2 linked regions of the Drosophila melanogaster genome follow. The protein of the gene in region 1 interacts with the protein of each later gene in a pairwise test. Each region holds a gene or a part of one and is shown on either strand. Other genes may lie near its edges. The genes, in order: CG4270 and CG10164.

What was found.
Region 2: the proteins of CG4270 (region 1) and CG10164 interact in a two-hybrid assay, tested with the Drosophila melanogaster proteins (2 studies listed by BioGRID).

Annotation. Positions count from the first base shown.
Region 1 is NT_033779.5:2,254,885-2,269,901, reverse strand, and holds CG4270 (uncharacterized protein), read right to left. Parts: upstream 6,461-15,017; 5' UTR 6,345-6,460; coding exon 6,147-6,344; intron 6,087-6,146; coding exon 5,860-6,086; coding exon of another isoform or gene 5,856-5,859; exon of another isoform or gene 5,817-5,855; intron 5,806-5,816; coding exon 5,718-5,805; 3' UTR 5,661-5,717; downstream 1-5,660. Other genes in the region: CG17242 (uncharacterized protein), read left to right, coding at 809-1,546; CG34049 (uncharacterized protein), read left to right, coding at 4,591-5,130, 5,193-5,419, 5,482-5,635; Send1 (spermathecal endopeptidase 1), read left to right, coding at 14,862-15,017.
Region 2 is NT_033777.3:23,549,378-23,566,311, reverse strand, and holds CG10164 (uncharacterized protein), read left to right. Parts: upstream 1-9,368; 5' UTR 9,369-10,079; intron 10,080-10,299; 5' UTR 10,300-10,304; coding exon 10,305-11,465; 3' UTR 11,466-11,989; downstream 11,990-16,934.

The sequences.
Region 1 (15,017 bases):
ATACGATAACAATGCCAGCTCCTCTCAGCTGAGCTCCTGCTAAGGATAAGAACCGGGCTCAGTGCAGCGGAGCGCATCAATTCCGCCATTTCCATTTCACAATTCAAAATGCGAAATCCGTTGCCAGGACGAGAGATGCACAATTGCAACACAAATTATTACTTGGCTTCGCTCCAGAAGGCCTTAAATTACAATTTGCGAAATATATGTATACGTCTTGCACAGCAGGTTTCCCAGGGAAAGCGGGTAGCGGAAGGCGGAAAAACTGCAGCCACAGGAAGCCATTTAGTTCGGCTTTTCACCCCCACGGCGTGGCCATAATTCTTTCATAAAAATCAACAGCCAAATGGCAACTGTTGTCTGTCGCCCGAAAGATAAACTTTGCTCACCACTTTTGTAAATAATTTATTTTCACTGGTCACCACTGAGTATGCTTGATAATCGTAATTACTGTAAGAGGTTCCCAAGAAATGGCGAAAGAAAAGCATTTCTCTGGGAAATTAATGGCTGCAACTCTCACAGCTATATTTGAACAGCCAATTTGCTATGAAAAAAGTATTTATAACACCGCAGCAAAAAAATATGTTAATTTAAATGATATAACCAATTACTATGCCAACCTGACTACGAATTTATCTGCCTCCACAATCATGCTCTAAAATTTGAATCAGTAAATCTAAAGTCGTATGTAAAACGAAAGCGTGACTAAACAAAAATATCAAAATTACTCTATATAAGATAAAGCAAAATGCATTTTGTTAGTAGTCTGTGATCTCTACGCGGTGGTTGTAGAAAGTATTTCTTCAAAATGCTGCTCAAAGGCATTCTTCTATTAGTTTCCATTGCTCAAATAGCAGCAGATTTCAAATCGATTGGCATTGAACAAGCTCCCTGGCAGGCTTCCGTTCAAATAAACGACAAACATCACTGCGGAGGAGTGATATACAGCGAAGATATCATCCTGACCATTGCCGAGTGTGTGAGAAAGGCCAGATTGGAATTCATCTCGGTGCGAGTGGGGTCTGCCCAGGAAAACGCCGGTGGCACTGTGCTGAAGGTCGAGAAGATGAGGCTGCAAGTACTTGGCCTGCGTCCCAGTGATGTGGCCATACTCCAGCTGAGATCGCCGCTGTACTTGGACGGCGGAATTCGGGCCATTCCCTTGGCCACCATACCATTAGTGCCGGGAACGAATGCCTCCGTTTCGGGTTGGGGTCAACTCTCTGCCATGAATCCTTCGTCGGAAGTTTTACTGAGAGTCGATGTAAAAATCCAAGATCAATTGATGTGCGCGACAAACCTTGCTCTGAAGGGCAGACTTATGAGTGTGGGCGAGATCTGCGCAGCACCTGCGGGAGAAATTCCCTACGCCTGTCAAGGATTCGTCGGCGGTCCTTTGGTTGCCAATAATCGGCTGTATGGAATCCTTTCCTGGCAAAGTGCCTGCGACGTCCTCAATAAATCTAGTGTCTATGCCAATATCGCGATGTTCAAAGTGTGGATTGAATCCACTGTTAAGCTAATGAATTTCTTCAGAATAGGCTAGGCATTTTAAAACGACCTTTAAAATATACGTTTAAAAAATCAACAGTTTGTGCTGCACAAAATTGGTCAAATTGTTTTCGCTCAACCATAAAACGCACACACATCGTTTTTTATTTGCTGGTTTCGCTGCGAAATTGAAATTTAATTCATTTGCATTTTTTCTATGATCTGGGAGAGAGCGGCACAGATGAACATTATTAATACGGCCCATAAGCCCAATAAATGCTCATGATTCCCCGCGTTGTTCTCATTTTGGTTCCTGCTCTCGCTGTATGGCTGTGCATTTTTTATGGTTATGAGCCTCATTGTGTTGGCCATTAAAATTGGTATTGTTATGACCGTTGTCAGCCATGAGTCATGAGGGGTTTGACCCACAGCGGAGGCCAGAGCCACTAAGGCCAGGGATGCAGCTGGCGATCAGGAGGGGATTTTAAAACGAACATCTAGATAGATAAAGGATATTTAAGAAATACATTGCTATATCTGGTAACTTAACTCAAGATCATCTTAAAATTTAATTTTCTTTCAGTAAGAATTATAATCTGGAGCTATTTTATGAATATAAAACTATACTTATACTTAAAACTTTACTTATTTCTCTCCATCCAAGACAAAAAAACACAGTTTTGATTTCAGCCTGGATTGGTTTAAAATCGGCTTAACTGCAACCCTGCAACTCAAATCAGCGGGAAGAGCAGCATCTGCATTGTCAGCTTAATAATTACAACACGCATACGAGCGCACACACACACACACTGACAAACAATGGCCGCTGCATCTGTGTGCAATTTGAACATGGGATATTCGCTGGCGAAGTGAAAAACTGAAGGGAAAAACCTGCTGGAAAACTGGCAGACATTTGCACGTCGTCAGCGTCGACACATTAAAATAAATGAGACTTTTGCCTTTAAGCAGCTGCTCTTGTTGGTGTTTCTGTTCTTGTTGTTGCTGTTGTTGGTTGCTGCTGCTGTTGTTGCAGTTGCAATTATTATTGCCGCTGTTGTTGCAATAGCATTTCCACGTTTCGCCCAACGCCTTGAAAATTACACGCAAATTACAATGCATAACGAAGAAAGCTTTCACTGAGAGGAACTTCCTTCGCCCTTCGACTTTCGGTTCCTGCCCCACAGCCTCCGTCTCCCGCTGCCACGCCCCCTCCCCCCCTGACCTCATTTACCCCTGGTTAACGGGTAAGAAGATGTGGTAGTGCGGGGTGGGGGGACAGAAATAAGTTACCCTGTCTGCTTAATTACATTGTAAAACTCATTGGCAGTCGGCAGGATTTATTGGCAGACAGTGCGATCCGAAGTTTTGGGTTTCCCATGGAAATTGCACACCTTTTGTTGTCCCACTTTCTTTTGTGGTAATTAAATTGAACTTTTGTCTGCGGCTTTTTGACAGTTGAACGCATTTAACCATTCGACGAGGTGTACAATGGCACAAAGAGTCCTGTGTGACGGCTGCGGAAACTAAGTGGTAAATGCGGCTTATTCCCTCAGGTGTTGAAATTTTAATATTAAAGCCAAAAGGATTTTCACTTTATTCGTATTTCACTCATCTTATGCCATATATTTTTGTAATTAAAATTTAATAGTTGCTTGAGTCTAATAGATTTTCCTTTTTTCCCCGAACTTCATAAACATAACCGCAACTAATTAAATATATTTATTGTAGGTCAACATTAAATTGAAATTTAATACAAAAAATGGGAAATTGTTAAAATCATTTACATAGAAGAATATTTTTTAACCGACCTAGCACGATTAAAAAAGGACCTTCGGTTCAGTAGCGCAATATATGTAACCATCACGTACATCAGGACACCAGAGGGTCCCTCTTCCTTTTTTGGCAGCTTGTGGAAATTAAAAAAAACCCAAAAAGCGCCATAAAAATTCATAGTATACTTTTTGGGGCAGGCCTTATGATCACTTCTTCCTGCTGGGATTTTGTTGCGAGTGTGTGTATGTGTGTGAATTTAAATTTTACCAATTTTTATGCTGTTGTTTTGACCGTTCCCATTTTGGTTGACTCGCTTTTGTTGCAGGCTGCTGAAATTTCTGTGGCATTACGCCAACCAACTTTGACGTGATGCCAGTAACACGTATATGTATCGTATACGTATCTGTCTGTGTGTCTATGGATATTTGCGATGGTGTGCTTGTCACTTGTTGACGGTGTGAAACTGAAGCCAACAGCGAAAGTCGCTTGCCGTTCGCCTGTCGCCCCTAAAAGTGGTTTATTGGGTTAACGGTTACGGTTACGGTTACGGGGGTTTCAATAATATAGCTCCTGCCTCACGGAAAGTGGCAAGTCGGAAAATGTTAAGGTTCTACGAATCAGTTTAGGTAGAATACCGAAAATTTGATTTCTCAGAGATTTTAAAGGGTATGGTTAATGACATTCAACATTAAATTATTCAAACGGTCAGAGAGTGCAGCAGTCATGTACAATATTTAAATAAAAAGTCCAATTACCAGTATTATTAGTTTGTATATTTAACGTAGTATTCATTACAAAGCCTAACGATCTGAACTCAATATCAATGAAAGCACGGCATGGAAATTGAATCATAAATATTTTTATCTCCATCAATTCATCAACAGTCCGCTAAAAAACATTCCCCCAAAACTCCGGGCGTAAAAAATTCCATTTTAATTTTCATGCCCAAGTGACAAACAGTCAATCAAAAAGCAGGCTAACTCGGTGGAGGTCAGAGGTCACGGGGAGAGGAGGGGAGCTTGCTGCTACCATAATTTCACCTTGACACCTTTGTGACCCGTCACCACCCGCTGCTCATACACGCCCCGTTGATATTTATGGCAGAAATTTAAAATTAATGATGTGTGACGCGAAATTGTCGCCAAAATAAACGGGAAAAAACAGAATTAATATTAATAAAAAAAAAGGAAAGCCAGGATAACGTGCGCTGGTGAAAGCGAAAAGTCTAGGAAAAAGCAACACCAGCCACCAGTCTCTTTAACTTCATATACAAAATAATTTCCAACTTACAAAATTTTCGATATTACTATGAATATATTAAATTAAATGGAGATTGAAAATAAAGTCCAGTCGGCAGAGAAATGTCCTTTGCAGATAATTCAGCACAATGACGCTACGTTTATTGGTTGCGATTCAAGCAACCGCGATTTGGAAAAGTGCCGCAGCTGCCTCACTTCCTTCTGCCGTAAACCCATTAAGATTTACCATAATTCCCGGAACTATCTGGCCTGCGAGGTCCAGAGATCACAATCTATAAATTCCATAAAGTCACTGCCAGTCAAATTTCCATCAACACCAAATAGATCACTTAACACAGAAAAGGATTGGTCGCATGGTAAAAGGTGTTTACAATGCGCAGCTCCCAAGTGCAAAACATCTTCCAGAAGTTCCATTCAGTCGAAAAAACTGAAAAAAGATAAGAAGTCTCTGTTAAAGGAATTTGAAATATACAAAATTCCTATCATTCGACGCAAGCCTATAAAACAAGCTGTACTAAGGGAAACCAATAAGTACCGAAGGCTTCACAACGCCAATCCCCTGAAAATGGATGAAAAACTTTGTTCCTATGCACAGGAGTGGGCAGATGTATGTAGATGTATTTAATATAAATAGATCCTTTCTTTTTCACCTAAACTTGATTTCCACAGCATTTGGCTGATCTGAACAAACTGGAAACTCGACCTAATCCTCTTTACGGCGAGAATATTATGCGTGTCCGGAGATCCAAATTCTCCGTGGATCAAATACTGAAACTCTGGTACCAAGAAAAATACAACTACGATTACTTAAAGCCAGGCTTTAATTTGTACACTGGACATTTTACCCAGTTGGTTTGGAGAGAGTCAGAGTTCCTGGGAGTGGGCGTGGCATGCGAGTGGGTTCATAATTTTAAGTCATACTAAAAATAATCCGAAACTAACTACATTTTACACGCAGTGTTTCCTCCATTTGGATTGTGTGCAATTACCATCCGCCTGGAAATGTAAGCGAACATTTCAGGGAAAATGTCCTGCCTAGAAAATTCCTTCTACTTAAATCGGACTTGGATGCCAAGGAAACTAGAAAATCGAAACATCACAATTTAAAATAGAAAATGGTAAATAAAACAAACAAATACTGGACCTAGATTACGCTTTTATTATGCTTAAAATTTTGATCAAAAAATCCCAGAGTTATTGCTTTGGCGGCACATTATCCTTGAACAAACCCACAACATTGCCGGGAGGATTGTAGTTGCAAACCACCCAAGTTCTATCCGCTCTATTGGAAGACATGTATGAATAGGATTACCATAGCCATAGCCATAAGACTCACTTTCGGGCCACACCCGAACCCATTTCCACCGACGACTTCCAAATGAGCTGAGTAAAGTGTCCAGCGGTGGGCACAAACTGCGCCTTGTTGAAATCGTAGCTATTGATTTCCCGATACCACATTTCCACCGGCAGATCACCGGTCACATCCATTCCACCGGAGAGGAAAATGTTTTCGCCGTACTTGGGATTGGGTCTGTGCGCCATTGTGTTCTGATCGCGGAGATGCTGGAAATGGGTGCAAATTAATATAAAATACTATAGAATACTCTTTATCCCTCATCCTACATTGGCCCATTCCTGAGCCAGCTTATTTAGTGCAGCATTAATGGTCACCGCGGGACAGCCGTGCATTGCCCGATATTTATTGGTGGTATTGAAGACCTCCTTCAGGAAGAGCTCGTTGTTGCCCTTGGTATCCTGACCCCTGGGACCTGGAGGGCGCTCGTGGGTTTTGGGAATGGGCGCTACGTTTCTCTTCGCCATATTTCTTTGGGGGATTGGCTGGCGCCGTGATTTAGTTAACCAAATTTACGTATGCCTAATGACTTTTTAAGCTAGCTGGCTAGATCAACATTTCTCGTTTTTAAGTTACAAAATTAAGTGGTTATTATACATGTATACAAGGCAGTCAATTAAAATTTTCACTGAGTTCTGAATAGCTCACCCATCAATCACAATGTTTTGTTTACAGCCGAAAAACCCTTTTTTCAAACCGCCTCATAATCTGGCCTAAACATCGGTATTAGCATTGTGATTGATACCGCAAACACAGGCTGTGGGTGACGGATTCACAGGACGTGTGCGTGCCCAAATCCATTGACGGGAATTAGACAGACTGTATCACACATCCTTCTTCTGCATCTGCCGATGGGATTAACCAACGTGACGTATGAGTGATGCATGTCACTGGGTTTGGTTATTAATGAGCCGGCGATTCTTTCGCAATCCAGCCATATGGCTGGATATGTAGGTGCAGGCAAATCGGGCAATTGGAGTGGCATTAATTGCCGACTGAATCGAGCTGGATAATGCGAGTTGGCCGACATGGAGGCCCCTTATCAATCGCCCGCAGCGCCGCCCATGGAAGTGCAAATTTCGATGTCGAAACACTCGGAATATTAAATTATTTAAGTGTGTGAGTGTGTGTCTGCGCTGCGGGTGGTGCTTCAAGTGTGAATCCCTAATGAGTTGTGCAAATGCAAATCAATGGACCGGCCGATGTCGCTGCTCCCGGCAGAGATTAAGCCGATGCTCCGATGTACAGATAGGCGGATACAGCCGCAGGACAGGCTGACTCGCTGAAATTATCCTGTGCGCCGCAAGGTGGATGCGGGGTCACAGCATTGCGTTTGATATACTCATGTGCCAGGCACTAAATTATGGCCCAGCTCATTGATTTATGTGAATTTGTGTACTAAGTACTTAAGTACTCGGCCATAAGCTTAAAGCTGGATAAAATAGTTTATTAAGCCGCGAATTTAAATAAGTATTAATGTTAATACAGATTAAAGCCAATTTGGTTAATTGGTAATATATAATTCAATCAATATCAAAGATTAGGATGAATTTCAATTCAATTAATCGGGAGCTCCCTTTTCCATTTCTTATTTTCATTTGCTCTATAGACAAAGATATTTTCGAAATGGATAAATGGCTCCATTTAAGCCGCTGGTAGAATTTCTGGTAATATTGTAATAAACTTTAAGCCTGCTCGCTGCATTTCAGGTTTCCATGGCCTCTGTCAGAAACGCGATGCACAGTCGCGTCATCCGCACAATGCACAATTCACAATTTCGGTGCCATCGGAGTTGGAAAATGTGTGGTTGGGTGGTTGGGTGGCTGGGGGATTGGGTGGTTCAGTGGCTGGGTGGCCAAATTGTTTGGGTTGTAAGCTGGCCACAGTCAAAGCGTAAAACGCAAAGCGCACACGTTACTTTTCTGTCGATTTAATTAATTTCGCAAATTTGGTTTCGTTTATTTATGCATTGCTGGTCGAGTGGAGGGTACAGTGCGCGCCATACGCAAAATAAATACACTCGCACTCTTATTTCGAGCATGCGGGCATTATATACATAGATGGTATCTGATATATCGTATCTGGTATCTGGGCAAACAGGCTCGCATTTCCATCAACCACACGGCATCCGGAGCCGGATGCACTCGGTTGCACATACGGATACTGCCTTTAATTCCGATTCCCATTGATTCGAATTGGTCATGTTTTGGCATAGGGTAAGTACCGCACAAAAAATGAATGCACAATTTAAAAAGTTCATTCTGAATTTGAAGCCAAACAATCTCAACTGCAGCCAATAAATGTATTCTTGTATTCCAGCAGATTTCATTGGTAGCATGCGTATTCCAATGTCGTTAAGCTTAAGTATTCCCAACGATTTCAAATGTTATAAGCTTCACATTCCACACCTTTTAGTATCACTTACTCTTTAAATCCATTAACAAAGTGCCAAAGGTTAATGAATAGCTTTTCCGCTTTTCCACTTACCGCCCACCTGGAATTCAATTAGTCGGATGCCATTCCAGTTGCCTTTGACCCTCGGTAATGTCAATTAGCGATAAAATGCAACAGAACAGAAATAAGTCACTGAAAAATCGAGCAAACAAAGCTCAACGAGAACTCCTTGAATCCTTGATCCCCGCGAAGGGCAGTCAAATGGAAATTTTCCATCTAAACGACATAAAATTTGCTACCAAATCGGTTTATGGCAAAGCGAAAAGTTTTTTTTTCGAACATCTCCGCCGCCCTACCAAAATTGTTTTTGGGCCAGGATTGCTATCGAGCGACTTAAAACTACAACAACGAACAATTTTGGGTTCGTTTCTGCGAACCACATTCTCATGCACGACTTTTTGGCGGAAAAATTTTTTGGAAATTGCATTTGCATGTGTGCGCCGGCAAAGTCTGGCTGGCAGTCATATTTTGCGCCTTTCGGCCATAAAAGCTAAAATGTTTGCGGCCCAAAGGAAGGCAGCGGGAGGAGGAGCAGGACGAAAAAGTGGATTACTAACGGTGGCCGCCGTCGCCAAACTTCAGGACTCTGCCACTCAGCTGCGTGCTACTTTGAGCCACCACTACACTTGGGAGATTTATTGTAGGTTTTAATATAAAATACGTATATAAATAGATTGGCATTTTATTAGGAAATTAAACTCATATTTAACCCATTTAAAATGAGCTGTAATAGAAGAAACTGAACGCACACACTCGCACCATTTTTCGCAGTGTAATAAAGCTCGATTGGTCTCCCTCTGATCCCCTGCAATCCGCTGTCACTGTGCCTCCATCCTTTTCGGCTGAATCCTGGGCACCGAGCACCTGTCTGCGATTTCTGAGCGCCTGTTCGGAATGCCACCTCCTCCGCAGGGGGAAGTGGAGGGGCTCCAAGGACTGGATGTTGAAAGGGGCGCCGCATCGAAATGCCCCCCCTTTGTCTATTCAATTGAGCGAGTTACAGTGGCACGGAGATCGCCTTTCCTCCGGCTAAATGGCGCTGTTTCGCCTTTTTTATTGGCTTTGCCTTTTGATGCAATGAACTTGGCTAAAAGCTATCGCGTCAATCGGTGGTGCAAATTTTCCGCCAGCGAGCAAAGTGGATGTGAAAAGTGCGTCGTATGTGGCGACGGATGGAACCAGATGAATGGCACCGGATTTAAGCACTATATGCTCGGGATTTTTTCATCAGCTGGAAATGTGGATTAAAAGTGGCCCATACACACATAGTGAACAAATAATAATAAGCCTTAATCTCGTAATACTCATGACGGCTGTCCAAAAATTACATCGTTTTTTTAACCGAACTTCGAACCTTTTGAAAGGCCATCATTGGCAAAGGCAGCTGCCAGTTTTTATTGAGCTCATCAAATGGTTATAATTCAATTTTTCCAATCGAGGAAATCGCAGCACGAATCGCTGTTCGCGTACGTTTAAATAAATGGCGATGGCCATAAGCACCGCGGACACGCCCTCGCCGCCCCCAAAATCCCAGCAATTTTCACAGTTTCCATGGGATGCCAACTCCCGAAACGAGTGAAACAATCGTCCATTTTCAAGTTGGGCCATAAATCATTGTGGCATTGCATTTGGTTGCATTGAAAGTTTCCATTTTCCATTTTCCCTTTGCCTTTTGCGTTTTCCATTTAGTTAGCAGCGAAAGAGTGAGGCGGGTTTTTTGAATTCAGTTGACATTGCCACATTAATCATACGCACATGCAGCCAGTTCGAAATGTTTCTTTAAAAGCCCAAGAAAATTGCTGACGTTTATTAAAACAATAAACAAATCATGTTGTTGCGTTGCCCGAAAAGAAGGAAATAAGACAGAGGAAAATGGAAAATGCAGCTAGGGACACATAAGCATGTGGCACACGTACAATGCATAAATATTTTAATTCTACCAAAATTTGCTGATAGTTTTATGGACTTGCCAACGAGACATGTCCCGAGCACTGAGGATCTGACCAAAAAATGCATTTCCATTTTTATTTATTTGCCTCAGCTGTTGACTGGCAAATAATTTATGTGCCTGCCTTGCATTTCAATTTATTTCACAATTTCCTTCTAGAATGGCAAAAACTGTGGACTTGGAATATGGATTCAAAGCTTAGTTTTGCGCAGATGAGAAGTTAAGTTATGAGGTGAGTCAGGGGTCCTAGGTGAATAAGTGATATCTAATGGTTTTCGTTAAGCTTTTGATGCGATCAAAGTGGTTTTCTTTGGTAATTGAATGGAGGAGAAATCTGAGAGATGATTAGATTATTCAATTCATGCCATCGGGACATGGCTCCTTTTGTGCACGACTCACCTGACAAGCTGACTGACTTCTTCCCTAACTAATTTGTCAAAACCTGAAAGTTCACAAAGAAACTGTCAAAGAAATGCAAGGACTTGGCGAAGCATAAAATTTCAACAAACATATGTAAATATTTGTTTACTCTGGCAAATAGTTGTGTTCCCCTCGAGAGCGAAAGCAGAGTCCTGTCCCTTGCATCCTCCATGTTTTCGCCCCCTTTCAACTTTGTCTGGTTGAAAAGAAGGACCCGGCAAAATTTCGATTACCCACTTCAACCCACTTGCTCGTGTACTCTTTCTCCAGGCTTTCCCCCTGCTTTTCCTTCGCTTTTCCTCTGCTGTTTACCGATTCTCGTTGCACTTTCCCAAGTGCGCTCCATTGGGATGCAATTAAATACTCCGCATGAGCGGACAAATAACAGTAGCTACGACTTTGAACCTTCCCACACCCCGGTATCCTGGCAACCTTGAGGGGAAGGTATCGTAAAAATGCCGAAACCCAGGGAAAACAATATTTGTATTGGCTCGCTTTGTGAGCTGCTCGGTTCTTCTGTTTGTCATTTCGAGATTCTCCCATTGCACATTGCCACAGTTTGCCAGCGTTTAATTAAAAAAGCCAATGGTTGCACCGCACAGATATTACAGGCCATCGAATTCTACACAATTTCCTCGCTTCTCCTTTTGCTATTTTATTGCCACCTGAACTTTTGTTAACCATAAACATGCTAAATGCTAAAGAAGAATCTTATTACTGGCGTTAAAGGCCGGGCTATTATTCAAATTTAAAGGTTTTTCCTGTGGAAAACAGTGACAAATGCCGCGAGTAAATTTCCCATGCTTAATGCTGCGAGATTTTGCATCTGGTGGGTTTTCCGAATGTCCTGGCAAGGAGCGCAGCTGTTGATTCGCTGCGTTGACGTATTTTAATTTATAATGCAATCACTGGCTGAAATCGGCTCGTATTGGAATTCAGGACATCCCCGAAGGGGCGAAGCGTTTGCATCTCCATTTTGCTTAACGCCCCGTGGTAACCCTCCTGTCTCTGAGTGTATGTGTGCTGTTGGAATGCACTGAAAGAAAGCTCAGCAATTGGAAGATCATCTAAGAATATTTCTACTCTAATAGCTTAATAAAAATTGGGAATATTGCAACACACATATGCAATATGAATTTATATCATTTCCTCTTATATTCTAGGTACCCAACACTAATGGCTTTCTTTTCATATTTCTCTCAGTGTAGCGGCACGCGTGTTGTGTCACCGTGTGTCGCCTTTTCCCCGACGCTGTGATTTGGATTCCCTATTTCTCTGCGTGTGTTTGCCCTCGTGAGATTCACAACGTGACAGCGCACAAGTCCAAAAGTGGTAATGCGAATGGGGATACCAAGGATACGAAGGATACGCCGATGTTGGGGCGAAGATCCTTTGGGTTGACCCACGGGGCCTACACCTGGGAAGCACAATGACTTCGACGACGACAGCGACACGTGCCAAGGACACTGATTTATATGTTTTCCATTTTTGTTTTATTAGCGGCCTCGCATCCATCCCCCCTCGGCACAACCCGCCCGACTTTTCCCCGGGAAAACGTGCATGGAATTAATGAGGACACGCCGCTATCTCATTCCAGCAGCTGCAACCCGAGCACCACGGGCATTTTTGTCCGCCACTTTAAAGCGGTCTGCTGAATGGGCAAATTAAAATGAGCATGAAATAATCATAAATTGCGCATTGGCGCATTAAAATTTGCATCGCTTAAAGTCAAGCCTCCATTTGCCAGACGATTGAGTGGGGATAAGCTGAGTGGGAAGTGGGGCCAGACGGTGGATTTCCCGACAGCTCTGGGCGCCACCGTCAAAGTGTCAAAGGGGGTGGTGCTGTGGTGGTAAAAGGTAAAGCGGAAGCTGGCAGCTATGGCGCCGGAAATGGCTGCATATATCCTGCGAATAGGAAGCCATCGCTATCGCCAACGCTGGCAATAGTTTTGCGGTGCTTTGGTCGCAGTTGCATTTGTATTTTACGATATGAATAGATCGCAGATTGCTGGGCTGCCGGGAAAAGGGCTATTATGGGGATTGTGGAGGCTGTTCCGCCAAACTATTTCACAAGGATTTAATCTATAGGATGTTAGGGTTACTTGAACACTAGAAAGATGAATATTGCTTACTTAACTGAAATATTTTTTAAGTTTTACTACCAAACTGAATGTGAAAGAGTCCTCTTGTGTTGTTTGGAACACTCCTGACATTCAGGACTTCCCCATTCCCACAGCTTCTTTATCAACCAGCCACCAGATTTCATTCGCTGGCCAAGCGGCGAACAAAGCCAGAAAACCGCGGCGAGATTTTCATTTCAATTTGCTGCCAAAAATGCCCACAGATTTCGACGAGGGTTTTCCATGGAAAGCGGAAAATGGCCAGTGGGGTGGTGGTGAGCAGCAGACACGCAGTCGTTTGGTCGCTCGTTCGCCAATTTAGTTTTAACGGTGCAGCTGCTGCTTGTGTTATCATTCAATTGCCGCCTGCACTGAAATTTTGCATACCAGGTACAAGGATTAGAGATGCTGGCTTAAACGGGTAAATTCAAACTATGCCTGGTAAATATTCTATGCTATACATAAAGAGAGCTAGATTCAGAAGTAACTTAAAGATATCTTATATAAATTAATTTTAGTTAGTTAGCGTATATGACTGCACTGCATATGAATAACCATCTGAGAAAACCAGATATGCAATGCTTCAAGAACGACTGATTTTCCGAGTGCATCCGATTAGTATCCATAACCATGAGTAATGACCACTCCCGCTAGTAACTCCCATCTGCAGCTAAGTCGAGGATTTTGGCCGAATTCCGGTCGGGCTTAATTGGGCGAGTGCAATGCTCACTTGGAGCGAGGCACTTGACTTGCCGGCCGAACAGCAGCCTTCGATGGAACGCCTGGCAAAATTAGCTTAAGTTACCCCCGGCGCAGTCGTATCTGCTCCCCATTTCCCTGACCCCGCCCAACTCCCCCATTACCATTGTCACCTCGACCCAACAGGCGATAGTTGTTGACAAGGATAACGGCCCGTTGGGTATTTTGACCAAGCGCCAAGTGCATGACTATCTGATTGCATTCTATGTGAATTTTGGCCGGAAAAGCGTTTAAAACATCGAACTGCGTGGTGGAAACGTGCTCGGAATTTAAGCTGCACTGCGAGAAAATGGTTTCAAATGTTTAGAAACGCAATATCCTACAATTTGAGCCTAGACTGTGATATTTTTGGATTTTTCCAGTGCCTCTGAACCAAAATAGAATCCTTGGTTTAATTCAATAAAATGTTAAAACAAACTTGTTTCTGCGGCCACATCGCTTATGAGTCAGCGTTTTAAATTGCTTTTGTTCGCTGCCTGAAGCTCCATGTCCGCGGGCCACTTTCAGCTATGCTGCTCAAAAGTCTGGAAAGTAATTCTATTAAAAATATCAAAAAAAAAAAGTAATAGCCACGCTCGGCCAGAAGAACTAACTACATAAACTAATGCGTGGAGTGGGCGGGGTTACGAACTCGATAGCATTTTAGCTGGATAAACAAATTTCTTTGGCGGGCGAATATGAATTTCCATTAATTTGATGGATGCTCCGGGCGCCAAGAAGTGGATGAAATGTGTGATGGCACTTCGAGTACAACACCATGCACCCCACGGGGCGTATGATTAATGCAATTTCCTGTTGCCGACAGGCAAGTCAGTGTCAGCGGAAGCACAATGCATTTATTAATGAATAACAAATCAATTCAATTCAAGATATCAATATTATACCGAATTTCCTTGGATACGGGTTGAAATAGCAAAATTGTAAATTAAATGCTTAAATGGGCTGTGAGCGCCCAGTTGCTGCGGAAAATCATAATTGAATTTGATCAATTATGGTTTTCCACTCTCATATACTCAGTTAGCTATATAGAAAAATACCTTTCAGGGTCTTATGTAATAGAAGGCACAACTATAATTAACACAAGCTTTTATCTCGTAATTTTAAGTGCAATATTCGTTATCAGCGAATAGCTAGTCCTTATTCTACCTAATCTAAAATTCATTTGCTTAGTAGAAATAGTAATCAGTTTTTGTATAACCTCCAGACCAAAAATGTATAAAAGCTGTGCACTTCTTGTGGTAATGAGCAAGTTCTTCCAAAGCACCAAGAACCGAGCTCACAATGTTTTCCAAGTGCTTTCATTTGCTTTTGGCAGTACATTTGCTGATTTCTCCGGTGGTACCTGTCCTTTTGGAGCCATCTGAACGCATCATCGGCGGAAGCAGCATGGACATCACTGATGTTCCGTGGCAGGTGTCCTTACAGTACTACGGCGAA
Region 2 (16,934 bases), on another chromosome or scaffold:
CCACACTCGGAGATGGATTCGTCTGTTGCGTTGCTTCATTATGCGCAGTGCCAGCAAAGTTTGCCGGCCCCCCTCGCACCACGATCCCTTGCTCCTGCTCCACAGGACTTTTGTTTTGCTTGGCCTGGCCCAAAGTGCTGCGCCTGCGATTATGCAGCAAAAACTTTCGGAGCCGCCATTTTGCAATGCAAAGCGCGGGCAACTCAAATTGGGTTCCTTCACAGTTATCCCGAATGACTGACGCAGCAACTGGATCCACCGTAAAAAATCCTTTCTTAAATTCGTTAAGAATCGATGTGGTACTTATGTCGAATTTATCTTTCGTTTGCTGTTGGAAGAATGTTACTAAGTGTAAATCACTTATTTAAAGCTCGTCTATTGAAAGGAATATATTTTTTTTACATAAGCTGATAGACAAATGCTGTACAACATATATACATTATATTCTTCAATTACAAACATTTAATTAATTTCTTAATTTTATTCAAGACTTGCAAAATGATCAATTTCTTTCTTGCTGTGTGCCTGATGAACCGTTGGTTGCCAGCATTTCTGCGCTGCATTTTCCAGCTAAGTTGGCTAATTCTTAAGTTGCTTAAATATGTGCAAACATAGCGCGACAAATGTAATTCGTCTCCTGGCATTGTGTCCTGCCGTGGCTCCCGAATTTCCCCCTCAACCATTCATCTACAGCCAACATCGCTGCCACTGGGTTGGCAACTTTTCTAGTTGCGGTCCCATCATATTAGAATGCAGCTCGACTCTGTGCTGAACTTTTAGCCACTGCTCCGCAGCTGCTGTGTGTGTTTTTCCGAGTTTTCCTTCATCCTTCGTCCTTCCCATCCAGGACCTTTATTCCTTTTATATTTTTTGTCTCTATCGAGGGGGCTCTGTTTGTTATTGTTGTCGCTCTTGTTGACTGCAGAAGTTATTAAAGCTGCAGCCGCACTTTATTATTGTGAAACAAAACCCGAAACAACAACAGCAGCAAGGAGCTGAGTCGCAAGTTTTGCTTGAGTGTGAGTGTGTGTATCCTGGCAAGCGCACATACTCACGCACGCATACTATCGCATTGTTTATCTTTCACATTGTTGACACAACTTTTGCAGGGTATTCCAAAATGTGTATATGTATATGTGCACATAGAGAATGCGTGCGTGTGTGAGTGGCCGGGATATCATTTGTATTATGGTAATTTAATATGCATTAGCCAATGTCAGGAACCCGGCCCAAATCGATTATTTTAGCAATTATTATAATTTCCAAACGGCGATGGGCTGGCAAATTAAATTTGCTCCTCCGGCCAGATTTCCATTTCCCCATGTGCCTGCACATATGTATATACATGTACGTATGCAAAATGTAGCCACAAGTGACCTAATAATGTCGGGGGGCACATTTGAAGGCTCCCCGTTCGTTTTGTCGATGTCAGAATGTCAACCAGCTATTTACATCTTTGTACACATGTTTGTGCCCATATGTGAATTGTGTCTGTAATAGTATTGATTTTTCATTTGACACATGGGTCGCACTTATCACTGCACAGACATCTACATCTACATATATACACACATAAATATATGTGCTTATACGGGGTGGACAGTTCAGGTGTGTTGGTTTTGGACGGAAGGCTAAAGTTACATTACCAAAAATCGCATTAAAATTCAACAGGCTAAATTATTGTTGGCACAAAGTCAAAATGTTTGACACTTAATCCAATTTAAAATACATTTTGCATTAGCGCTGGAAGCTAAATACAAAGCGGAAAGCTTTAGCATGCCACTTAATTAGGTATGAACTAAGTGGTCAGGGCGGAATTACTGGGAACTCTCAGAGGGTTTTATCTATCAGACGCACTAATTAAGTGGTTTTGAAATTAATGCATATTTCTTAAGTTATGTTTAAGAACAAAGTAATAGAAATATCGTCGTTGAACAGCTAGATAGAATTTTATACCGTTTAAGTTTACGTTACTGTAACACTTATGTTGAACTTGCCAGTCACTAAATAACAATCTGTGCGGATAAGCTAAATCAAGCGAGGCTCCTCCCCGAGGACACTTCAGCATCTGTCTTCGTTTTGAAAAATATATTAAATGCCATCTCGTGCCATAAATTCATGTGGCTTTTCTGCGGCTAAGCGTGTGGCAAGGATAAACACACACAGGCACTCGAAAAATCCCTGGTCGCTTGACAGATTAGGAGCTAGGATATCGATGACAATTGATGGCCGTACATTTTATTCGTGCAACTTTTTCGAATTTGTTTCGATCGGAACAGAGTGAGTCGTAAAAGTGTTTCATAAACTGCAGCTGCCGACCTCTAAAAAAAAAAAAAATAACATCGAATGAGGCGAATAAATAAGCTGCGCATGATTGACAATGCAAATTCATTGGGGAAATGTTTGCTGATGTTGTAAAATTTATTTCCCCCTGCACTGTACAGCTGGCAGCCCCTGACGAGTGTTTTCTTTGATGGCCTTTTCATTGAGTGCTCAACTAATAAAGTTTCGCATATGTGGACAAATATCACGTGCTGGGAATAAAATGAGTTTATGAGCGAATACAAAAAGATGGAATGATACTAAGAAACATGCAGGGGCGTTGAGGGCAACTAAAAAGTGTTTATGGTTGGCTCTTTTTTTTTATGATTCTCAAGGTTCCGGGAGTTCTTGGGTAGCAGGCTCAAACTATTATAAATAAATTATCATTTGCCTAAGCCGACACGAAGACACGTTTGATGGGGCTCATTATTCTTTCGGGCCATCATTTGCCTACCACTTTAGGGTGGGGCTTAAATTAAATCAACATCGCTGGGAAAACACCGTGAAAAATGTCCATAAAGTAAGTCGATGCGGCAAACAAAGGCCGGAACGGAACGGAGGACATTCATCGACATAAAACTTAAATTTTTAATGCCAGCCCTACACGCCCCCCTCTTTTACCAACGCCCTCAATGTGTGTCGTTTCAGGTGCAAGACACATAAAAAATAAATGAGCACAGTACAAGAAAAGCGGCGCGAAAGGAAAGCCAAACAAAAATACAAAGCTGCACGGCGTGGAAAATAAGTGGAAAGCCACGGCGTGCCACAATTGTGCGGGTAAGGGATAAAGCGGGCGGCGGGCGGTAGGCGACACAAAAGGGCGTGGACGCCCCCTGCCACATTTCCACATTTTGTCACCCAGCCGCGTAACTCGCGACAATTTTTTATGGCAAACAAATTTTGTTTTTGTTTCTCGCAGCGCCACAAACAGAAATCGAGCCAAAGGCGAAATCGTAGGGATTCTTGCCGGAAAAGGAAATGAAAAAGTACTTAATATTTCACAAAAGCTGCAGTGAAAGGCAATTTACAGAGAGTAGCGACATCGAGTGGAATATGACAGACTAATGGAAATTGAAAGGCAAATATTTAAGGAATAGCCAGCAAACAGAATTCAAATTCAATGGTATTTCCCAAAGGACTTGTGGGTTACCCACCAGAGTTCCGAATTCCGAGTAAGCTCATCAGTGCAACATCCATAAATAGTGGCCTGGTTTGGTCAGCCCACCCACATTTGTGCGGGACACGGTGAAAAATAATCTATTATTATAATAGCTTGGGGACTAGGAAAATGGCTATGAAAATTCCAAAGGGTGCTCAAAAATATTACTTCAGGGTTTTACACCTCAAATGTGTATCGATTACATGAAATATGTGGTATTTCTTCTATTTACTTCTTATGATATTTGGTAAAATATAGAAATACTCTCGCAGTGCACGTATTACCCGCGAACTGGTAGTGCCTGCATTGCCAAGGCAACTTTGTGGCTACAGCTTCTGAGCACCTCAAGGACCAAGGAATGGTAACCGCAGCTACAGACGCGACCAAACCCACGAGCGATCCTTGAACGCCCTCTTCTTCGGTGGCTTCCAGCCACGTCCCCCTTCGTCCTCCTGCCAACGCGTCAGGATATGCCGCCCCTACAAGTTGCCACCCCAGAGCACCCACAAAAGATGGCGCGTGAGCCGCGAGAGAAGTCAAAAAATTAAACGCTGTACACAAGATTTGTTGGCTGCGAATGTGGCACCCACGGGGTCTCGACATTAACCTACAGGCTCGGGCCACCAGTGCGTATGAGTGATGCGCACAAGGAGACGCCTGTCTCTGTCATGAGAAAAATAAATGTTACATGTGAGGCGAATGAACTCCAAATTGATTGGACCTCCCGTGTGTGTGTGGGTGTTTGTGCGTGTGCCTGGAGCTGTACTATAAATATTGAAATAATTAAATTGCAGTTTAATAAATTAAATGGAAGAGAGCATAAATATTTAAGCTGGCAAATGTGCGCCTGCCATCCGTATAACCTAATTATGAGAAAACCACTTAAGCTCCTTAATTGCACAAAGGCGAAAATGGACGGTTGTGACACGTGGGGAGTTCTCAAATGGGTGTGGTTAGTCGAGGGGTCTGCTAGTTTATTCACTTCTTTTCTGATTTAAGTTCAAGTCTATCTCGACTGCAGAAAGGTAATGTTCGTGAACTTTCAGACTTCCAGCAGTCGTGGTCCCAGTTTGAATCCTGTCGTATTCTCTACCGCTTCCTTTGTAGACATGACGAGAAATTTAAGGAGCAGGGAGCAGAAGCAGGAGCTATCCCTAATCCCAGGGCCATACAACTCCCTCTACGGGGATGCCGATTCGTATTGTTGACTGCGCCGGAAATTAAGCGCACCGGCAGGAGGAAGTCTGCCCTAATGTACTAAAGTGGAATAACGTGTATGCCATATCTTGAAACATGCGGATGGCAGTAAACACAGATATATATATACAGATAGACAAACAGATACAGATACGGATACTCCGATACAGTTGCGAATGCAAATGCCGTTAGTCCGACACCGACAACAAAAAAAAAAAAAGAAATATCAACAAGTCCCATGTAAATTCTACCTGACTTTTAGCTTGGCTCGAACTGGAATTGCTTTTCATTCGATCCAAACTCCAGACAGTGACATTTATTCAAACTACACGGCTGCCCTGAATTTTGCATTACGGGAAAATTCACGTCAGTTACGCTGCGATTTCGCTTATGATAACAATTTGCCCGAGGGCAAAACTTTCCGGCCGCCGCGATGCCAATCATATGAGAGAAGGCAATGCCAGCATAATTTTTTCAGCTCGGCGATAAAAACTTTCCCCAGCGAACGAGCGGAAAATAGAGAAATGGCTGGGAGGGGGTGCGGAAAAGCAAATATGAAGCTCGGAAAAACTGTTTGACGAAAAAAAAGGCGACATATAATTGGAAAACTTTCGGTAAAAGGCGATGGCGACAAGGCAAAGTGTGAAGAAATATTTAAGTTCTTGCAAGTGGCGTGAACTAAATAGAAAAAAAAATCACTAAAAAAGCTCGGTAAATGAAAAAAAAGAAGAAAACGGGGTCACTTTAGGGCGAGGGTAGTCACTTAACTATTTATGGAATTATTGAAATGTCGATTACCTTTCTCTGGCCAATCGATACCACAATCGAAAGGGTATAAGGAAAATATATTAAACCGAGAAAAGGTTAAAATACATAAAGTAATGGCTAGTGGGTGGACTGGGCACACAGATTGATAAATATAGCCGAATGCATAATTTAATTGACTTTTATGGGTGCTCCGGCAGCAGCCCCACAATTTACACCATTGTTTGTTTTTGCATATAATTTCAATTGAATTTTAATTGAAATTATGACGACTCCTAGCTCCACTGAGCCAGACTCAACTGGGCGGCACTGAGCCATTGTTTTCCTAACCGTAGTGCTTTGTTTACGCGCCCCGGCAATAATTTTGCCAATGGGCTGTGGCTCGTGGGTTGTAATACGGTGGGTGGTTGGGTGGTCCGCCCACAATGGCAACCATTTAGCATATTAGAATATGCATTGTTTGCGCCCAACTACGGCACACGCAATGTGCGACCACCCAGGAGGCTCTGTTCACGGGGGACGAGGATCGAATTCTGTTTAGGGCTCGCCAGGATGTTTCCTAATAGCCGTCACTTAAATTGGCCAGGGAATTAAATTTCCTCGTTCCCTAACCAAGTGGTTTCCAATAGCACCTATACTATTTTCATTGTATCCTTGTAGTTTGATTAAGATGAAGAAATTCTACAAGATACAGTCATGGTCAAAATTATTTTCACAAAGTGCATTTTTGTGCATGGGTCACAAACAGTTGCTTGTGCAGCAAGTGGGGGGAGGTGAAATGCAAAAAAACTTTTGCTTTTGCAAATTCAAACCTATGCAGAGTCAGATGAAAGAAGAATGGAAAAAATAACTGTTCCTATGCGCAAGGAAGAGGCAAATGAAGAGATCTTTATCAGTTGTCAGAAGTATTTGCACACGGTTTCGTCGCATCACAATTATTTTCACAACGCAATTTCTTCTTCAGTGATTGGTTTAGAGTGACAAGTGCCGGTTTGTTTGCTTAAATACATTTAAATTATTGAATAAAAATTAGATTTAATCATTTTCCTATTACAGTTATTAAATAAAATGCCCAAAACAAAAGAGTTAACAGTTGAGGCCCGGGCTGGTATTGTTGCTAGGTTTAAAGCCGGTACACCTGCGGCCAAAATAGCTGAAATATATCAAATTTCGCGTAGAACTGTCTACTACTTAATAAAAAAGTTTGATACAGTTGGCACATTAAAAAATAAAAAAAGATCAGGCCGAAAACCTGTGCTGGACCAAAGGCAATGCAGGCAAATACTTGGAGTTGTGGCGAAGAATCCTAGTGCCAGTCCGGTAAAAATTGCCTTAGAATCAAAAAATACAATTGGCAAACAAGTTAGTAGTTCTACAATTCGTCGCAGGCTAAAAGAAGCTGATTTTAAGACATACGTTGTTCGCAAAACGATTGAGATCACACCAACCAACAAAACAAAACGTCTTCGATTTGCGTTGGAATATGTTAAGAAGCCTCTTGACTTTTGGTTTAATATTTTATGGACTGATGAGTCTGCATTTCAGTACCAGGGGTCATACAGCAAGCATTTTATGCATTTGAAAAATAATCAAAAGCATTTGGCAGCCCAGCCAACCAATAGATTTGGTGGGGGCACAGTCATGTTTTGGGGATGTCTTTCCTATTATGGATTCGGAGACTTGGTACCGATAGAAGGAACTTTAAATCAGAACGGATACCTTCTTATCTTAAACAACCATGCTTTTACGTCTGGAAATAGACTTTTTCCAACTACTGAATGGATTCTTCAGCAGGACAATGCTCCATGCCATAAGGGTAGGATACCAACAAAATTTTTAAACGACCTTAATCTGGCGGTTCTTCCGTGGCCCCCCCAAAGCCCAGACCTTAATATCATTGAAAACGTTTGGGCTTTTATTAAAAACCAACGAACTATTGATAAAAATAGAAAACGAGAGGGAGCCATCATTGAAATAGCGGAGATTTGGTCCAAATTGACATTAGAATTTGCACAAACTTTGGTAAGGTCAATACCAAAAAGACTTCAAGCAGTTATTGATGCCAAAGGTGGTGTTACAAAATATTAGTATTGTATTTATATAAAATAAAGAAATTCTTATGTTGAAATTAGATGTTAAGCTGAAATTTACTAAATTAAGTTGAGTGAAAATACTTTTGAAGCGCAATAAACATGTGAAAATACTATTGACAACTTGCATGCATATTTTCTTTTGCTTTAAGCTTTGTACTATGAACCGTTATCTTTCGTATTTCTTTTCGACTACCTTCTGCATAGATCAAGCTAAGCGATAAGAACTATTTCAGGCAAATCGGACAACAACAAGAAGAAATATAACAAAAAGAAGTTGAAGTTTGCAAATATTGTGCGTTGTGAAAATACTTTTGACCACCTCTGTATGTTTTCCCAGAGCCAACGAACTGAACTTGGTAAGTGTTTATTAAAGGACTTTGCCACAAAAGGACTAATCATTGGATAATCAAAAAATGATTGAACAAGTGTTAAAAATATTTTATAGGTAATCATTTTTCTCATGTTACTGAAAGTTGCAAGACTAGCGAACATATTTCAGTAATTTAAAGTGCCACACATCCATTGTTCAACATTTGTTTTTATTAGAGTTTTCCGAACTCAGCTGCCGGTGTAGTTTTACTTTTTCCTGTCCCTTCTGCCTCGTAAGTAAGGAAAACAAATAAATAAATTTCAGTTCTGGCCAGGGCACTCACTCTCACACACACACATAGCCACATGTGGAAATGTGTGTGTGAGGTTGCCTTTCATAAATTTGATATGTATGCGAATTCCTTTCGGTTGTGTGGTTGGGGTTTTGTTTTTTGTCAAGCGAAACCCATTTCCTGGGACTCACATGCTGCCACCAGGTTTCATCTACATTTGCAATTATTTTATGCTCCGCATTTGCCATTTCGTCTTTAATTAGATTTCCTGCCCAACCCCTAGCACAAATTTGCACTTGCCTTTGATGGGGCTTTCATTAGCCCGGCCTTGCGTGCCGTTTGTCTTGCTGGACGATAATTCCACTTTGGCGAACAAGGGCTGGCCAAAAAACACTTTAAGCCCTCTTCGGCTGGCTCACATGCATTTGCTATTGGGCTCTCGGTGTCATGCTGCGACATGCACTACTCGCCACGAAAACATGCAATTTGCAATGGCCATTTGCGCGACCATCAGTCAGTGGGACGCTAGAAACTTTAATTGCCCGCACACGTTTTAGCAAGCTAAGAAAGCTCGATGGAAAACACTGAGTAAAACTCGACAAAATCGCACTCGCCGCAAATGTGTTTTCGCGCCTTAGTTTTGGCCAAACTCTGACACACGAACGTGGACCTCAGACACCGAATGCCACTCGATATAATAGCCTTTCACCACGACGACGACCGCCAAGCACGTCCTTTCGCCAGCTCGTAACGAATTCAACTGAATCGCCACGGCCAGGAACAGCTCGATTTGTTTATGAATCGTCGTGTGCGCTTCGAGCCGAGTCCTCGGAACTTATTGTTCTGGGCGGCAGAGAGAGCTTTTTAGTCCTGTGAGTGGGGCTGCGAATATCGTAAAGTTAAGAGAAAGGGCATTTCTAGTGCTCTGCCCTTCACGCTCAGTTAAGAATTAAATTCTTGGTATGATACTTACTGCTTTACTTTCAAATTTTTGCTTTGCTTTAATTTGCTTTGTTTTAAAAAAGCATTTACTCTCACAATTTTTAGGGAAATCGTAGTTTTGAGTTCAGAGTTGATTATTAAAAATATAAATTCTTTATACAATTTAAGAAAGAAATTGCATATATTTATTCGTTTTCTGCTGTAATGAGTGAGAAAGTATTAGATGGAGAACAACATTTTCGTTTTCTTATTTTTACAATATAATTTAAAGCATTGCCGTAATTGTCAGGCGCAGTGACTTTCGAAGAACCATTTTGAATATCAAAATTTGGGAACACCAGCTCCCGGAATACAGGATTGTCCATTCCTATAGCTCCACATAGATGATCTAAATTGAACAGAGTACGCCTTTCCCCAAGTAGCAGGGGCCCTATCCGTATTCCTGGTCCCATTCTAGACACAAACAAAAACATTCACAGCAGTCGAACAGACAGCCCAAAGACACTCCCACACCAGCTGTGTGTATGCGGTTTAGTTGGCCAACCGCAAAATTCTTGGCAAACAAAATAAAGAAAACTAACTTGGGCCGAAGCAGAGCAGATCCAAGCGGCAACGGAAATTGTTAACCTTTGGGGATATCAAACATTTACGATTGCGTGGCAGCGGCAGCAACATTTAAGTTTTTATCAGCACAAAATAAAGTTTTGGTTTACGGATTGTGTTCCTGTCCGCCAACGCTCCTCCTACTATCCACCACTTTTTGGCCAGAGGCAGCTACAAGTGCCCAGGAGCCAAGACAGGAGCAAAATTCAGGAGCAGAAGCTGGATCAGGGGCTGAAGGTTCGTCCCTGTTGATTCTGGGGCACGCAAAACTTTTATCCTTTTCAATTTCGTTTTTCTTCGCCGAGTACTTTTGAGGGATTTAAATTTCTGTTTGCAGCCGAGCCAACAGCGAAACAACAACCGTGGGAGTGGCAGCATCGAGTTCGTGGCGACCAGGTGAGTGTTTCTTGTTGGCCTAATCACGGCTTTGCCGACTTGGCCACAATCAAGCACAATGCGATTGGCGCTGCTAATTTGACTTGAATGATACATAAAAAGGTGTACGAAAAAAAATTAGGAGGCTTATGTGAAAATGTGATGGTAGAAAATAAGTATATTTTTGATTAAATATTTTTAACAAATAGTATTTTTTAGTCTAAAAATAATTATTTTTCAGCCGTCATGAAGAAGAAGAGTCGTAGAGATCGGACACCAAAAGTAGAACAACCTGAACCATCGAGAGTTGTCAACACGGAGCCTATTCGACTGAACGTGGAACCCCAATCCCAAGAGATAGATGACCAGGCTGCACCATTTATTTTGGTAGACTGTGCGAAATATGAGGATCGTTCAGATTTGGAAGCAATGCTTAGTTCCATAGAAAAGGAACGGATGAAAAAGGTTCAGGCAGATATAGAGCAGCAATATTTTCCCCTCCTGGAGGATGAAGAACCACCTCCAGAATTAGATATGCCTATAAACCTAAGCTCTCAAGCATTGGCTGTACTGAATGATGCAGATAATGAGCGCCGCTTTAAAGAGGATCTGGAGAGCCTTAGTATTGCTGGACTGGAAGAGAAAGATACATCCATTAGCATTACCAACATGAAAATAGAAGACAGCAAACTATTGTTTCGGACTATGCCAGGTATGAATCAGATTTGCTGCACGCTAGAGCAGATGAAAAATGTTCATGGGAAAATTGGACCAGCAGAACCAACTCCACAGGCACGTTGCACCAGCTTGATTCCACTTTCAGGCCTTCGCCGGCAAGACACCTTCGAAATTAAACGTAAAAAGAACCAAAAGATTAGATATCCCGAGGTTTCCACCAAATCAGCAATTAGCGAAAGGAAACATCTACCATTAATTGCCAAGGGAGGAAAATGTGAGAAAGTTATCTCAGAGACTGATAAGATTTTCAGCCAGATTGGCGATCTTCTCGTGAAACTGCAGCTCCAACACGAGGGCAGCAAAGTCCTGAACAAGGGATCCTCTTATTCCTACATGGTGAACATTAAGCCAGCTGGAGGTGCATCCAATTGTTCAGTTTATGCGCTTACAAAACTCAAATCGCACGAAGTAGAGGAGACGCATGCCGAAAATCTAAGAACTTCTCACGCTCCATTGATCAACATTTTATACCCTGGTCGTGGTGGACTTATGGAGACTTCTGAGTTGTCCACGACCGCACGATGTATCGATGGAAGCTCCATTGGGTCGATGTCCCTTCGCGAAACGCCGTCCTCCAAGATCAAACCATCATTTTTACGCAAAAGGCCCAGTTCCCATCTAAGGGCACCTAACCCTGTCAAATTTTGCCACGGCAGGAAGAAAAATTAGGCCGCTTGGTAACCATTCCGCAAATTATTTGTTCGAAAGCCATTTATTTTCTATCGACATTGGAATCTCCAAATAATGCTTACAAATTCATATGTTGGTCATTCAAAAGGATCTTGAATGGATATTTTATGCAAAAATATATCAGTTGCCAGAGTCTAATGAACGGTAATAATTCAACAAATGCATACAATGCGGCCATAATATAAAATATTAAGTGATACAAAACAAATATATATTTTTATAAGCCATTAATTAAAAAATAACCTACATTTTGGTTATTAATGGTCTCTTGGATTTATTTCCACTAGGGTCAATTAATAAAATTGCAAGTCTGAAACCCAGTTTAAAAGATCAATATGCTGTTTTCGATTGAATTGAATTGTACAGCGCAAACAATATTTGTTTTTTCTTTATTCATCGCAAATAAACAAGTGGTTTCAAGTGGTTTATTTATTTGCCATTTTAAATTCATCACAAAATGCACAATAATTATATAGATGTTATCGGCATTCACATTTTCAATTACCCTCGTATTTTAATTTATTGTGTTGTAATTAAAGCGATTTAATCATATTCAATCGCCAGAGTCCTCCAATCAAAACTCGTGCACCTTTCTGGAGTGCTTCCCTGCATAAAAGTTGCATCTTGTCCACTTCCTGGAGGAGTTGTCTAATTGCATGGCCACGCACTTTCATTGCTCATTTCCGAGTTGCCCTCAAGTGCGTGGTTGCAGCTCATTTTGTTCGGTTTGCACAATTGTGGCCAAAGTGTTTTCAACTTTCTTCTGTCAATGCGCCCGGAGGTCGAATCCGAAGTCCGTGCCTCACCCGAAAATCCCCTCTTTCGGTTTGGGTTTGGTGAAATGTCGGCCAAGTGCTGGGCTTGGCTTGTGCCAGTTGGCAGACGTCCTGCTGCAGGACCTTAAAAACCTGCCTGCCTCCTGTCATTTGTCGTTGGCCAGAAATTGCAAGATTGACTACTGGGCTGCAGAGGGTGAACAAGTGGGTGGGCACAAAAGTTTTCATTAGTTTTAATTAAATCCCAAACAGCATTTCCATGCTGCACTCTTTCGCTCGCTCGTTCTCTGAGGCGTGTGCTCTTTCGAGCCTTTGTCAATGAGTTTTCCCAACAAAACCGAATTAAAAACACATCAAAATTAATGACACTCCGCCCCGGGATGGCCAGGAGCCGGGAGCTGGTCAAAAGGAAGTTGCCATTGCCTCCACTGCCACTCGAAGTGCGGACAGCATTTGTGCAATTTATTTAGCCGGCTTTTTGCGGCGCTTCTGGATGCGCGCATGTTGCTAAATAAATTTCATGATTTACTGCAGCCATACGGGAAACGCGGACAAGAAGACAAAAAAAAAAAATGCCAGTTGCCAGTGGCCACAATGTTTATATAGTTGTCGAGTGGGCGTGGCGCATCGACGGGTGCGAGAGGCGGGGACGTATGCCATGAGCCGAGGCTACATGAAATTTGCAATTAGATTTGGCGAAAAAGGCAGCCGCAACATCCGCCCGGCGTCCCAGTTCCACTTGCAACCAGCAACCAACTTCGTTGTCGGTTCGGTCCGGACGAAATATTTAATGCGGAAAGTTTAATCGCAATAGCAACGGCAGCTGCAGCGTCGCATTTCCGGCATTTGTTGGTTTTTAGACTGCATTTCCCGCATTCAGATGGCAGTTGCAACGCAGGACATGGACATCGCAGCGACTCATGGTTGACATCATTAAATTTGATGTCCGGCATTTACTGGTCACCGCCTCTTGTCTTCGGGGGCATCCAGGATGCCGGGTCATCGGGATGACAGAATGCGGACGCACTTTCACTGCGGCCAGCCTTTGAGTGGCCAAGAAATTAAATAAATTTTTGATTAGTCCGGAGCCACATGTATATGTATTCCACACTGCTTTTTAGTGCAGAGATTTCCCTGGGATTTAGGTGCGCTCAGCGAGTGGTGGCTTAATTTTCTGGTGACCGCTTTGAAAGTGGGCTGATTAGCTTGGTAACTGAAGTTGCACTGGGTTAGTCGGAGCTAATGGAAACAGAATGGTGTCATTATTAAAGTAGAAGATTTTTCATTTTTGTAGAGAAAAGGAAGCCTGTAACAGTCAAAATTTCATCAAGTTTGCAATTAAGAAAGTGCAGCATCGACACTCAAATTTCGGTGAAGTGATAATCGGAACATGTTTTTCGCTGTCCTCAGCATCTCTAATTAGCTTTCAGCTAATTTGCAAAAAACCCCCGAGCGTGGGAAATGAAAGCCAAATAAATGTTGCACACAATTAGAATGCACAACAATAATTACATAATAAATTCGCCAACGCAACTGGAATGGCAACTGCAACTGCAGCTGTCTCAGCGGCATTCAGTGTCTTCCGGCGGCAGCTGCCACGAAATGTAAATGAAAATAAGTGGCAGGACGCCTTCTTCGTCCTGTATACTTCGCTCTTGTTGGCGACCGCGTTTACAAATGCCTTCGACTAGTTGAGCACTTGATCAGCGGAGAAGTTGGCTGAGGGAGCGGGAGCATGAGCTTCCTTCATCCATTTTACTCCGCATGTGGGCGACGGCGAGATTAATAAAATTTATTATCATTGCGATAGTGGCAAAACAAACTGAACGCCCCACACATCCCCCAAGTATTTATGTGCTAAAACCAGCTGGGAGAACATATCAAAATGAAGTAAAATTCATTTTACAACATTCAGACTGAGCTGAGTGAGCACTGAAACTGTAGCTCTCGAATGCAAACCGAAATTGCAAATGCTTCTGGGCTGCCATCGAGCTGAGGGCTCAGTGCTGAGAGCTCAGTGCCGGGAGATCCTCCAGTCCTCCAGTGCTCCAGCCCATCCGCCATCCCCACTCCATCTGCTCCATTGAGGAGGGGCAGAAAGGAGGAGCGCCGCAGGAGCAAAACGGAAGTTCGACGCCCAAGTGGCAGTCGCGATAATAGCGCCCTGCCATGTGCGCTAAAGTATTAGCATATACACAGGCGCACACGAACCGAGTGCTAGAAGAAAAACTTTTGACTGCAGCGCCGCTATCAGGAGACACATAAATATGAAAACGCAAGCGGGGCTTGAGAAATGCACTCGCAGAAACCCATGCCGGGGCGATAAATACACCACAAGCATATTTATATTTACTGCAAGCCAAATAAAATGGTTCTACTTATGGCTGAGGGGCAAGTAAATGGTTTGGTTAGACTTGGAAACAAGTTAAGATTTAAATGGGTCAAATGGACTGTTAATCTAAGTCTTACACTATTATAGACTACCAGCATAAATACTTTAATTTAATAGATGAGCTAATATAAAAAGGAAATATTATTTAAATATATTTACGTTCAGTTTTTCATTCAGGGTGTACACATTTTTGAATGTGAAACAACAAAGTATTGTATATGGGCAGTTTATAGTCATTAAGTATTTTAAGATATTATTTTTATTAATTTTTTTTATTTTTGACAACTGAGTTAAATAACTAAGAGACTTCTTGCAGTGCCGTTGAAAGGGTAACCAGGCTAGTGGCGACTTCCTAGGCAGATATATGGAGTGTAAAAGTGTCATTGCCACGCCCAGCGGCCATTACCCACCGCCCACAGCACGCTGGCAATGGAACTGCAACAGAGTGGAATTTGAATATTATTGTCACCCACACACACAACGCACAACCAAACACCAGAGCAAACACACCCAACACACCCCAAAGACCCAGTGGGCCATGGAGCAGGCACGAACACAGGTTTACTTGGACAGACCTCGACCTGGAGACCAGAAAGGAGATAGAAGCAGGACCAGGACCACAACTGGAACCCAGTATTTAATACTGTTTGTGTAAAATAATAGCTAGGCCCCCCAGAGAGTGAGCTAGAGCGAGCGAGGTGCGGCTAGTGTGCGACAGAGAAGCGAGAAATGCGCCCCTGGCGGTGCCGTAAATTCAAATTAAGTCGCCCAACTTGCTGACAGTTAAAATCTTGGTAACAAAAATGTGCAGAGGAGCCCACAGGAGAGATCAGCACTGCACTGGGCCACACTGCGTATGAGTGTTCCTGGGCTCTAGTGCTGCCTTCCTCGCTGTGTGTGAGTGTGCATATCGACCCTCTTGACACGTGTGTGTGTGTGTGTGTGTGCATGTTAGTTACCAGTTTGTTGAGCATCACACGCAGTTGGTTTTGAATTTATTGCCGCAAAATGCAGCAGCGAAAGGTATTCCCCAGAAGTGCAGATGGATTAAGTGAGCTTCATATACATATATGTATATCTACACACATACTGCATCCCACCCTAAGTGCGGGTGTGATTGCGTTTCATTTTAATTAAATACTTTGCCAAGCTCCCGCAAAATGTCAAGGCCTTCGGCTCGTGTTCACCTTGCTCTTCATCAGAACCTCCTCATCTCCACTCACCTGGAATGGCGAAGGCCCCAGCAGTGTGGTCAACTTTCATTGCCGCAATTTGGGGTCATCATCGAAATCAATAAACGCTACCAAAGTGCTTCAAAGTGCGATTTTAAGACTTGGGGAAAGAGAGAAATGGCCAAGCACTTCCCAGCACCAGACATAGTTGAAAGATTTCCCACCGTCCGGCAAAGTTTGTCTGACCAGGTCAGGGAATTGTGGTCTGAATTATGGGCAAGAGGAAAGAGGGAGGTGCAAAGGAGTGATTTCATCGCTGCTTCGATAGCCTAGTGGCAATTCCGCTGACACTCAAATGAAAATATATTGGAAAATCTGAAAGCAAGTAAAACACTTTATAATTAATACACTAAATAAATTTTTACAAAACGAATGTGCTTCAGTCTCTTTCCCAGTAGTGGTGAAATATTCAATGTGACAGAGCTGGTTAAATAATAGGTATATAGCCGTGGGTGTCTGCTCACCGGGGGTATCAAGTTGAACGTTTTATTGGACGCTTAAGTTTTACAATCAATTCCAGAGCTTATTGCCCGCTACAACCGAGCGCTTAATAATAAAACTCAATTTCATTTTGCTCCTCTTTGTGCCTCGTCTTACTCAGAGGCTCGTCCGGAAATTTGAAGCCAATTAAAAATGCATTCAACGGCAGCGCCAGGAAATAAGCGGCAAAAGAAAAATGAAAAGACAAATTGACAGGCGGTCGCTGGGGGAGTGGGGGCGTGGCATGCCCAGGACACTCGACAGCGAAAGCTCAAGGACAACTGGGGAGCAAAAGTGTCCCCAAGTGAGACCCGTCCAAGATACCGCCGTGGACGGGGCTGGTGCATTTTTTATGGAAATAAATATGATTGCCGTGATCCATGATCTGTGCAATCAGGCAAATGGACCAAATCGAGTATTTTAATCAACGCCAAGGGTCGGACCACAAAAAAATATCGCCGGCAAAGGCAAACAAAGGCAAACACTTGACGGGAGCATTAAAAGGATTGCAGCGCAAACAAAGGCCGGGCGTGGAAAGCTGGGTGGCTTTTAAATCCGAGGCCCCTTC